Nothobranchius furzeri: one gene and its partner. The main gene of each other region encodes a partner of the protein of the gene in region 2 in a complex. Links are inferred from orthologs where the notes say so. Each region holds a gene or a part of one and is shown on either strand. Other genes may lie near its edges.

Region 1 (5,982 bases), on a different chromosome or scaffold from region 2:
CCTGTTCAGACTTAAAATTTGCTTCAGGAATGTTGCATCAATGTACTATATATCTCCCTCATTCCCACATTATCACATTCAAAAACAAATAACTCACATAAGTTAAACCACCTAAAGGGCGGTCCAGACATCGTCTTTTACAAAAAATGACCAATGAAGTAAAAGTTACGGAGAAATGGAAGCAAACTGCTTTAGAGGTAATATCTGTGAACGTCAGGGGAGGCTAAAAGTGCTCCAAGATGAAGATTTGCACAGAATAAAAATCTAAGAGAGCACTGGTTGAATTTGCATTGAACTACATTATGTGAACTGTCATCATTTAAGTTTAGTTTCTAATGCAGATCTCTGTGCTGTAATGTTATCTGAAAAAGCTTTGTGTGTTTAATCCAGAAGACTCACCGTGGACTGAAAGTACTCAGGAGAGAGTCCCTCCAGCTCCAGGATTCGATCCTCCAACGTCTTCAGTCGCTGGTAGACGGTCAGAGGAACCGGACCCACTGAGGAATAAAACATAAATATAATATGTTCCATACACCAGACTGGGAAAAAAAGGACTAAAACAAAACCCAGAAAATAGGGAGAGAAATCATCGTGTGACAAGATTCTCCCCAAAAATATGTACGTAGTTATCATCTGGTGTTTTAAATCAGCCAATATTCAACATGACAAGGTGATCAGTCAACCCAGCACCTGAGAATCAGATTTTCCCCCAGTTTGTTCAAGTTAAAGACAAAAAAAATAAAATCTGTTTTTTTTTTCCTAGTCCATGAACACACCATCACTATCATTGGTTGGTTAGAGTAGTGAAAACTCAGAAATCAGTATCGGCCATAAAAATTAGAATCCGTGCATCTTTGAGTGTGATTAACTCTTTTTTGTGTGACTTAAGAAAAACATCAAGAATTTATGTTCTTGTTGATATTTTATAAAAAAAGGTGCTCATCATGTCACAATATCTATATTATTTGTATTGTACAGTTTTATTCAGGATGTGTGACGCATCACTTGTCTCTCTTCTCTCACCTGACGGCAGTTTCAGGTGAGTCTCCATGTTCTGAAGTCGCTCCTCTATGGCTGCATTTCCACAGTCTCTTGCAGCTGCCCCCCTATGATGCTCTGCAGCCTCTCCCTGGCGCCCCCCGCCACGAGTCTGGGGCCCGTAAGTGTTTACCACTCGTGAAACTGATCAACCAAAGAATAATCACAGACTCGGATGAACCAACCAAATTTTAAATGATGCACATTACAGAAATCACACAGCATCCATGATGCTTGTTACCAAATTGTTAACAAAAATAATTTAGCTAGTGATGATGAGTGTATTTTTGAACGTAAGAGCAACAAAGAGTCCCCTTTTCTTACCTTTAATGTGGCTTTTAAAGCCTGGGTAAGGAGTGAACACGGCGTCCGTCCTGGCACAGCTGTTTTCTACAAAGGAATCAAATCCAAAACAAAAGTGTAATTAGACTTTCTAAATGTAAGAAGAAAATAGTCATAAAAAAAAACATTAGAAATGAATACACCACACTTGAACTGCAACTTCGTCTGATTTCCATTACTGGCGTCACACACAAGCTTTGAATTTCAAACAGCCTGTGTGTCTGGTGTTTTTCTGGCCAGAGCAGGTTGCGTTTCAAGGCCGAGTGTGTTAGCTACTTCAGGCCCACTCTTGGAGCAGTTCAGCCTGACCTCTCGCCTGTGGAAATCAGCTCTCTCCCAAACATTGGCAATCTGTGTGCAGCCTCCCTCTCCACCCTGCCCCCCAATCTCTCCTCCGTTCTCACCCTGATTGCAGTCGATCACGTTGCAAAACTCGCGCACATTGTTTTCATTGATCTCCATCTGCTTGCATTCCATAAATGCAGATATTCTTCGCTCGATCTGGAGTTACAGAGAAGACAGATAATAAGACACAACGGGTTGATGAGCCACTGATAGCTGTGAAGAATTCAATGTTTTGTCGACTTATTTTTACTGATTTAGAGTAAACAAAGTTCAGCGATTTATGGTTTCAAAAAATATCAAACACAGTGAGAGAAATTATTCCAGATAGCCCAAACAGTTGAATAGATTATCGTCATCATGTGATGGAATAAGAATACGGTTTGCCTGGCTACCAAAATAAATGCACAACAGAATGGGGCCTCTTGTCCTTCATCCACATGCAATCTCAGAGTAATGAGCATCCACTTCATAATCCATCAAGGACCTGGCCCTCTCTCAAACCCCTCCAGCAATGTGGTCCATTCTACCCCACCACAGCACTACAGAACCCTTTATTCTCTGTCAAACCCAGTATCAGAACTCCATCAAGCATTTGCTGCACATCATGTGCACATCCTTGGAACCAATTACTTATGATTATTCATTTGCTTGACAGAGTGTGAAGGGCTCTAAAATATCAGTGCCAGAACAGCTGACAGATCTGTTGACAATGACCAACCTCTGACTTCCCGGCTCGGATCTGAACCATGACGTCATCGCCCGAAGACCCGCAGTCTGCAGCCTCTGAGCTGTGACGCCGGTGCTCGGATGATAGTGACGTGACAATGTTATCCGCCGTGTCTTCCTTCACAGATGTAACATCAGCTTCCACCAGTGACCTCAGGCTTTCTGAAACAGCCTACAGCCAAACAGAAAGAACACTGACTGCTACAAACACATTATAAATTAGTGTTATTATTTCTTTAATTACAACACTAGTGACCATCAATTATACTGTAAATGTGGCACTTATTAGATATTGCAGTCATATGTAACATAAATTAACCAACGGGTGAATGTCTTACCTGCAACTTAGCAATGTGCTGCTGTACACAGCCATAAACACCTGCTTCTGAAGATGACGAAAGTACTACAGCTCCAGGGTTGACCTCTATTCTCAAAGCAGCATCCCCTAATTTCAGCTTTGAGAGAAAATAAACAAGAGTTTCATCAAGTACACATCACCACAGCTAAATAAAAAATATATAGTTCAAAATAGTAGAGGCAGAAAATGCTAAATAATTTAAGTAATTTAACCAACAATTTGGTAATTAAAAAAGAAGCAATTTTTCATAATTTGCTTCTATAAACGGTCAAATTAAATAATCTTATTGTTTTACACTGAACCTTTCTGCTGTGCTAGAAAAACTAAACCATTATTTAGCAAAAAAAAACAGTGTATATAAGACTGAATACATATATTTAATGTCCCTTTAGAAGCCCTGGGTATGAAAAGAGCTAAAGCATCCAGCAATTTTAATAATTTAGACGTAAACACGGGGGGAAATAGAGCAAGGTTAAATATATTTTCTAAGGTAGAAATGCGTTGTGGACAGTGGCATCAATAAACGTTTACCTGCAGGACCAAAAATTACATAATACTGCGTAAAAATGCCAAAAACCGTGAACGTTTACTATATGGAAAAAGAGGGTAAATGAAAATAAGCGTGATTTGAACCTAAACTGACGTGTGACACAAAAGTCTGGACATGTTTTTATTGCACAGAAATACAAATATTAAAACTGAATCTGTTAATTTAGATATAAACCATCGAGCTGACGCTTTCCTACGGCAAAAACTTGATTAACGGACAGTGAATGAACATGAACCGACGAGGCTAGTTGCTAAAAACATTAGCACACCGCTAGGAAACTACTCAGACTGGAATGACTATTCGGAGCGAAGCAGCTGAATCATTTCACACCAACCTCTTTCCCAAAGTCTGAAAGCAGCCCCAGTATTGCGTCCATGCAGTGTTTGTAACTGGACATTTTAGCTGGTTCGCTGGGAGGAGCTTTGCTCTCACTTAGCTTCGTTGTCTCCGCCATTGCTACTCAAACTCATGGAATACTGCGTGCTCATTGGTTGCGAGACGGTGATTTTAATCACGTGGTTGGTGGAACTGCAGGCTAAAATGACGCATGCGCATTAACAGTAGCGCATGAAAGTAAATTCAAAGCACAAAAATAAATGATTTACTGTGTTTTGCTCAGAATTTTGATCTTTAAATAGATTCTGAAACATTAAAAAACCTGTATAGTTTTTTTTGTTTGATCCTAAAGAGGGCTCATCATAGGTAGAAAGATGCTTTTGTTTTTGTTTGTGGAGATTTAATTTCTAGAAGGCTCATTCAGAAAGCAAAAGTCAACTTTTACTAATTTAAACTATTTAATAAACTAGTACAGATGCTTAAAATTGTGAAATATGTTTCAGTATAACAAAAAAGTAAACAATAGTTTAAAAAACAGCAGAGAAAAATAAACAGAAAATGTTTTAACTTTTGAAATGGACATATTATTTAGGTTCAGTATATTTGTTTGCCTTTTCTCAGAGGATGCTCATAAGGTCATGTCTTATTTGTATAAAGCATATAAAATAAGTTTTATTCTTAAAAAACTACTAATGTTTTTATTGTGCTGATTTTTGAGGTGCTTTATGACTTAAACTCTTTTTTAAATCTTGGTTTAAATGGACTTGTCTACATTTTTACAATACTGACTGACATGTCCAAGCCACATTTGCCTACGTTTTCATTCACCTGCTTCTCAAACAGCACAAAGAATGGCTCCTTATTATAAGCACACTGTGCTTCTTACTGCAGAGGACCAAGCAGCAGGGCATTGGGATGGGAACCTGCCCACAATGGTGTATTTCTCTGAGTTGAGTGACTGTGGGAAAATCTCCCTTCTCTATTCAGACATTTTTCACTTCTTTTCATATAATGAAGAGAGAGACTGATGAAGGAAACAACAGAAAAAGAACAATTACAGGCAAAGAGACGGCACAACCATGCACTCAGAACTCAATAATGCTCTTTAGAAAGGTTAATCATTTTAGGAAGGGCTCTGAAGATAAGCCTTTTTAGCTTAATTCATTTGTAGGGTGATATTTTTTCCCGTGAAACAGGAAGAGAACTGTAACACTTGACATGGTTTGACATGCTGAGCAGTTGCTAAATGTTCCCACACAGCGAGGAGCTCTGAAATTAAATACACTGCTCATTTAATTTGCCTGGCTGCAGACCCAAGAGCTGTAATTTTTTTTACCCTTTTAATGAGCTGTATATGTGATTTAAGGTACTTCTTGGAAAATACTTAGAGCATTTTGGTTGAATTTAACTTTTGAAGCCAAATTGCAGATGCTCATTAGCTAAGGGTCTGACTTGATCTTTCACTATCTTGTTAGTTGAAAAATCATAAAGAACAGAAGAGGTAATACTTACATCATCATATATTAAATTAAATACCAATACTTTGTAATTGCATGTTTTAATCGGGAATTTCCAGGTCGTGCCATCAATTGAACATAAACAACCATTTAGCTAAATGTATTTTTCATTTGCATATGTGCAAATAAATACCAGACAGTCCAAATTTGGTGATGTATTTATTTGAAAACAGCCTTTTTTTTATATGCGAATACTTTTACATATGACTCGGTCAGCAGCAGTCAAAGAATGCAGCTTCAGTCTACATCTTTATTTCCTTCAGCAATTCAAACACACACATAAGACCCAATTTTCAGCAATAAAAACAAAATGAAACATAGAACAGACATTATTATGATAGCCCAGGAACGTGCATGTCAAGCATAACAAAACATAGGAACAATATGTTAATCAGTGCAGAGCCGAGGGTTTTTCCACAATCCTTGTACGTTTGAATAAAAGTGAAAATAGCTTCAATAGGTGAGATTTTTCAGTGATTAATAGATGCAACAGTGAAAATGCAAATGTGGTGACAAAATGGTTTGGCCCACTTTAGTGTAAAGGATAAATAAATACAGGAAAATAAATGAATTACACCAAACACAGCAGAAGAGGTACTAGAACATGTAAAGTGTGAGAAACTAAATACAAACGTGAAAATTAACCTAATCTTTTCAAACAGAAGTTGTGTGTCCTGAGTCCCCTTCTGTAGACATTATTTGCTCATGATTGATTTGCTCTGGTGTTCGTATCAAAACATTTTCAGAAGGAACTGCTGTTGTTGGTTTGA
Region 2 (5,999 bases):
CTTGAGCTGTAACAGAGGTGAAGCAGGTCAGATGAGCAGAGTGCATGAAAGACCTTGGCCACTATCTCATGTAGATTAGCCTGTCAGAGACTTTATGTCTCTGCTCGAGCAGACGCAGCAGATCATGACCTTTAGGTCAAAAACAGGACATTCAGGATGCTACAACGGATACAGAAAAGTCCAAAAGCTTTGAAATAACATTAATTCCCAAGTTGGACCTGCTCACAGTGAGTTGCCGCCTTTTGTCACCGGTTCTGTGCAGAACCTTGGGCAGATTTTCTAGGTGCAGCCATGGAGTGGAGGGTGGCAGGAGGATCTTGTCTCTCCTAGCTACGTCAAACTTCAGCTCTTGACTGGGGTGAGGATCAGCACCTCTAGAAATGGTTCTCACATGGAGAAAGGCCTGGGTAAGGTCCCAGGTTCCACCCGAGGAGATGGAGGAGGTGACGGAGGAGGGGACCGATCAGGCTTCCCTGCTAGAATGCCATTGTGTAAAAACTTTACTAACAACTTAAAAGTTGTTTTCTTTGTGCGACGAGTAACGTCTAAAACGAGGTGAGCACAAGAAAAGTCCAACAACAGAAAAGTTTAATCAGCTGATCAACAACAACTCGTATGGATCTAGGTCTACGCAGCCTGGTGAACAGGGTGGAGGCGTCAGCGCCGCAGCCGCAGGAAGAAGGCGTGGCGGCACTCTGTGCTGTCCACAGGGTAATATTTATCATAGAAGTCCAAGATGTACTCCTCGGCCTTGAAGCCAAACTTCTGGTAGAGTAGCATGGCCGGATTCCTGGCCGACACGTGCAACGTCACGTCCTTCCCCATGCACGTCTGAAGGCACAACAGCTGTTAGGGTCCAGGCTTTCTCGTGTAAACTACCTGCCCGCCCCAACAGGACTCACCTGGATGAGATGGTAGATCATGAAAGTCCCGATGCCGGCCCGCCTCCACTCCGGATGGACCAGCAGGAAGGAGATGTAGGCTTCGTTGTACTTGACGTCTGGCACCATGAAACCAAAGCCAACCACCACCTTCTTATAGAGAACCACCACGCTAAAGTCTGGGTACTGCAGGCATTCAGACAGGTCCACACCTGCAGGAACACACCTGGAGGTTTGACTCGTGGTTGACAGGCGCAAGCAAAGGAGGGAGGCGGAGCCATGTTACCTGGCCAGAAAGTGTCTTGGCACATGGCGTTGACGGAGGGGATGTGGTAGGGACTGACGTAGCAGTAGTCAATGGGGGCGTCCGGTTCAGCGACCCAGTCTGGATCCTTCCTGTGGGGGTATGCTCTGATCTCCTCCAGCAACCTGAGCTTCACCGGGCGACTCTCGTAATCCCTCCTGTGGAGCACACAGCTTCTACGTGATACCTGGGCCTGGGCACCTCTGGAGCGCCACCTGTAAGGCTTTCGTACTCCAGCAGGTAAGACAAAGTTTTCAGACTGGCCTACCTGATGAACGGTTTCAGGAGGCGGGACGTGTACGGACTCTTGATGCTTTTGTCCAAACTGCCTTCAGCTCCCATCAGACGGTGCCAAAAGGACACGGAGCTGTGCTGGACACGCCTTCGGCTGGAGACGCTGGTCTGTAAACACACAGATGGGTTCAGAGACCAAAGCTGAATCTGAGCCGATGGTGTTAGCTTTCAAGGGAGAAACGGCACAAAAAGGTCAAAGGTCGAGTGAGAAACAGCTGGAACGTGCTGCTGATGTGAAATATGGATGTCTTCTAAAGGTTTGGAGTTGAGGAGACAAGCAGAGACCTGAAAACGATCCAGAATCCGCTGCTCCTGGCGGCTGCTGCAGTATTTCTTCTTAGCCCCGCCTTCCACATGTGCCCCCGCCTCCTGCGCATCATAGATGCCTCCCACCAGGCTGAGGGTGGCGCTGATTGCTCGGTCAACGTCTAGCAGGGGGAGCCCTCTCTGGCGTTTGGTCTGGCGGACCAGCAGCTTCCTGTGGAGGCGTTTGGCATGTGGAGTGACGGCCAGCGCCAGCGGGCAGGCGTCCAGCCGCAGCAGCAGCAGCCGCTCCTCGTACAGGCTGAGCGGGACCAGGCCCGGATCCCGAAGGACAGCCACTTCGTTAGATTTCTCAGGATGAGTCGCCCTCCGCCGCTCGGCTGCTCTGACGCCAACCGGACCCCGGCAGGAAAGAGTCGGGGCCTCTGCCGGCTCTTCCAGGGAGTCCTCGTTCTGGTGGCCATCATCGTCTTCACTCTCAGCTTCCCGTTTGATGTGGGATGGCGCCGCTGGGCGGAGCTTCTTACGGCCAACATGGCTGGTGCTAGCAGGAGGGATGTACTCCACCCCTGGGTCAATCATCCCTTCAATCTCATCGTCATCTGAAAGAGGGAGGCAGACAGGAGATGACATCACAGCTGACACCACAGCCCAGCACGAGGATGAAATGACTCACCGTGGAATAATGCCTGTGGCGGCATGGCGTCCGGAATTAGGTCCGCCTCCGAAAGAAGGCTGGGTGTGGCTGAATGAGAGGCAGGCGTTCCCGGAGCGGAGAAGTCGGGCGATGGAGACAGAGATGGGCTGGTGAGCGGTGTTCGGTCCGAGGAGCTGAGGGATGAGAACTCGATGACCTCGCCTTTTTCCAGGACCACCTCAGACCGGCGACTGGCACCCCCACCGCGGCCTCCGCTTAGCTTAACGGGAGTGGAGGAGGAGCTGCGGTCAACGTAGCCTCCCACTGCCTCCTTCTGGGCTCGGCGGATGTCTTTGGCCTCTTGTGTGCGGCAACGCTTCTCCTTCAGCTGCATGGCGTTCTCCACCGGGTTCCTGGCTCCACGTTTCCTCAGACCTTCCACCGTAATAATCGGGTCCATCACCGGTTTAGAGACTGTGAGTGAACGACACAATGGATCAGTGGGCGGAGCTTTCTCACCTGAACATAACTGTGACAATGCATCTCACCTTTGACCTTAGCGATGGATTTGTCCCCATCCGGTCTCAAGGTGGGAGGTCTGTTCTGGACCAGCTTCCACCAGCCTGGTTCTCCAAACTCCTGCGCACCAGAGCGGAAGAAGGTGGGACTTCCGACAGAAAGGCAGCCAGCGACTGTGCTCCACCACGTTGACGTCTTCTTCCTGCAAACATCATTAGCATCTTCACTGATCCGAGTTAAAGATTCAGCAGAACTTGTGATGATTCTTTCAACGGGATCGATCGGGGCTGGGATGTTTCCTGGCCCTGGAAACCCATCTTCCCTCCATCATCTGTGCAACTGTGGATGTTTAAAGTGGGTCAAACAGCTCAGGTTTGAAAGGGAAGCCTTAAACTCTGATTGGCCAGGGTCTCCGGCATGACTTCTAACTCACCTGTTCCCCAGCAGGAAGTTCCAGTGGCGGCCAATGAAAGCGCAGATGTCCTCCTTCCACCTGAAGTAACCCTGCCGGCCTGTCCCCTCCAGAGACAGGTTGTACATGGCCAGCATCACCACCTGAACACAGGATGTTCCTGTTTAACAAGCAGGAAGTGTGTGTGTGTGTGTGTGTGTGTGTGTGTGGTACCTGCCCTGCTGAGTCTGGGTCATACCTGCTGCCAGGTGAGCCTCATCCTCTCAAAGCTCTCCTTCCTGTCCTCAGAGCACTCGGAGCAGAAGAACTTAAAGAAGTTGTCTCCTTTCAGGTAACTGGGCTGGTCACCGTGGAGCTCAGCTGGACCAGAACCGGGTCAGAAAGACAAAACCCTTTAGGATCGCAGCAACCACACACACACACACACACACGGTCCTCCATGCTGTGCTGTGACTGGCTGACCTGCAGGGATCCACTTGTGGCAACGTTCGCAGTAGAAGGACATGTCCTCACAGGCCCAGCCTCCATCCGTCTCCTCGCCCACGTCGCTGGTCAGAGAGTCCCCGCTCTGGTCGTGGGACAGGTCTACGGAGCCCTGGTCCTCAGACTCTACGATCAGCAGAGTCTCCCCCTCTACCTCGCCCTCCTCCAGACCCTCAGAGGCGGATGTTCCAGCCGCCTCGTCCTCTGCCGCTGCCAGCTGCTCACTGCTGCTGTCCATCTCTGGGCACCTGTGGAGGTTACATGGGTCAGAGAGGCACTCTCTTATTTGTCCATCCAGAAGACCCATGTGGACATTTCAGATACAACAATAGGTTCAAACTGGATCAAACCAGACAGAGAAGTTCTGGTCCTTCATGTCATCTTTGTTCTATACAAGCAAACACAGCTGAATGACCATGTTTCCTGACCTGCCTCAGGTGTCCTGTGACTGAAGCCTCTCCTCTCCTCTCCTCCGCTCCTCCTCCAGGTGTCTGGTCAGAATCCTCTGCTCTTCCAGTAGCCTCAGGTTCTCTTTCTTCCTCTCCACCCGCTCCAGATCCTGAACCACACCCTCACGCAGCCTCTGCAGGGTCATTAAAAACAACACGTGACAACAGGCCCTGCTGCGGAGTCACGTCGGCTTTAATCTGAACCCAAGTGCAAGATAAAAGGGCCTACAAGAGACTCAGAACCATAAGCACAAAGAGGCTCCTCCTGCAGAGCAGAAGTAACACAAATATGGGTCCGTTTCTCACATAGTTCGGGTCTAGATTCTGGCTGGACCGCTGCACCTTGGTTCTGTTGTTGATCTGCTGCTGTGTTGTCACAGACTCGTGTGTGTGTGTGTGTGTGTGTTAGATATCAGGATGCTGGACTCCTGTGGAACCGGCCCAGGCCATTAGCCCTCCACCACCATGTTGACAGCTGGGGTATGAGCTGTTTGTGCAACAGTGAATTATGGGTAATCATCTCACATCCGGGACATTGTGAGCTGCCAGCCAGTTTATTTCTATCACTTCCTTACAGGAAAATTATTTACGCTGGTTTTGGGTCAGAGGTCAGGTTAAATGTCCTGTAGTTCGGTTGCTGCTGGACCGGCTCGATTCGCACACTTACCTCTCGATCCCAGGCCTGGTTTAAATGGACCGCTGCCACGGTACCCAGCGTCAGAAGCACAGAAACACCCAGAACCACTTTGGAGGCTGCCGACATCACGTTGGGTCTGACTTCAGTTAGCCAGATGCTAACAGGCTCCTCGTCTGCACTACCGGAAGTTATTCTTCTTCTTCTGTTTATTTTCACTCCCATGAGCCACAGCGGCCCCTGCTGGTGGGGAAATGAGCTGCAGGCAGCCATCGTTGAAGGTTTCTTGGTAACAGAACAAAAAAAGATGGTTGTGGTGCTTTTTCAGCATTTTTTATGACGTTTTACCTTTTTTCGGCTAAACATTTATGCGACGCAGGCTGAGAATGTACATTAGTATGTGCACATAGTTTTGGAAACCAACGTTTTCTTTTTATTCGTTGTTTTTAGTGGTTGGAGTTTACAATAATAACGTATGGCCAAGGTGTGTTTACCTGTAATCTGATCATTTCCTTCTTTATTTTCTTTAAGTGGAGCAAGTGAATTTCCCCTCTGTGGGATTATTAAAGTCTATTCCATTCTATTCCAAGATAGGACCTGTTTCTCTCTCAATGAGGAAAAGGAAATTTCAGTGTTCATGTGTGTAAATCTCTTATCATTTATTTCATTAGTGTAAATGGTTCAGAAGTAGCTAGTTTGTTAACTAAAGTTTTGGAAAATCACCCTGACCGGAAAGTTGGAGAGGAGCGATGATCTTAGCAGTGAGGAGAAATGTAAAACACGAAGAAAAAACCGGAATCATGCAGCTTAAAGTCTTGAATCAAGATTGAAATGAGCAGAAATGGTCAAAGTTTGAGGAGCAGAAACGTTGGTTTTAAATCTAAAAGAATTAAAAGGTTTTTCAGTGTATTTGAATTTTGCAGAAAGAATTATAAAAAAAAACACAAAGAGCTGAGCTTAAAGAGCAAGTCTCCCCCAAATAAACTTTTTTTGCTGATAAACTAAATAAACGAGTGTCTAATCGTGCTACAGACACGTGTCGTCAATAATTTGGCACTTCAGTGCATCTTAGTTAAAATTTAAATATTCTGCCTAAAACTGTCAGTGTTGTGCCGTTGTCAG

Evidence for each region.
Region 1: kat14 (region 2) and mbip share a complex: the UniProt entries of both Homo sapiens proteins name them as parts of the ADA2A-containing complex. The link is inferred for Nothobranchius furzeri from reciprocal best matches to the Homo sapiens genes KAT14 and MBIP.

Annotation. Positions count from the first base shown.
Region 1 is NC_091758.1:21,135,625-21,141,606, forward strand, and holds the start of mbip (MAP3K12-binding inhibitory protein 1), read right to left. Parts: upstream 3,853-5,982; 5' UTR 3,814-3,852; coding exon 3,694-3,813; intron 2,907-3,693; coding exon 2,790-2,906; intron 2,624-2,789; coding exon 2,444-2,623; intron 1,882-2,443; coding exon 1,785-1,881; intron 1,429-1,784; coding exon 1,363-1,428; intron 1,183-1,362; coding exon 1,024-1,182; intron 498-1,023; coding exon 400-497; intron 1-399. UniProt on the Homo sapiens protein: Inhibits the MAP3K12 activity to induce the activation of the JNK/SAPK pathway. Component of the ATAC complex, a complex with histone acetyltransferase activity on histones H3 and H4.
Region 2 is NC_091746.1:29,632,586-29,638,584, reverse strand, and holds kat14 (cysteine-rich protein 2-binding protein), read right to left. Parts: upstream 4,033-5,999; coding exon 3,774-4,032; intron 3,672-3,773; coding exon 3,550-3,671; intron 3,455-3,549; coding exon 3,333-3,454; intron 3,102-3,332; coding exon 2,929-3,101; intron 2,855-2,928; coding exon 2,420-2,854; intron 2,346-2,419; coding exon 1,765-2,345; intron 1,588-1,764; coding exon 1,454-1,587; intron 1,344-1,453; coding exon 1,168-1,343; intron 1,094-1,167; coding exon 903-1,093; intron 832-902; coding exon 658-831; 3' UTR 567-657; downstream 1-566. Other genes in the region: protein PET117 homolog, mitochondrial, read right to left, coding at 4,228-4,377, 4,911-5,150. UniProt on the Homo sapiens protein: Component of the ATAC complex, a complex with histone acetyltransferase activity on histones H3 and H4. May function as a scaffold for the ATAC complex to promote ATAC complex stability. Has also weak histone acetyltransferase activity toward histone H4.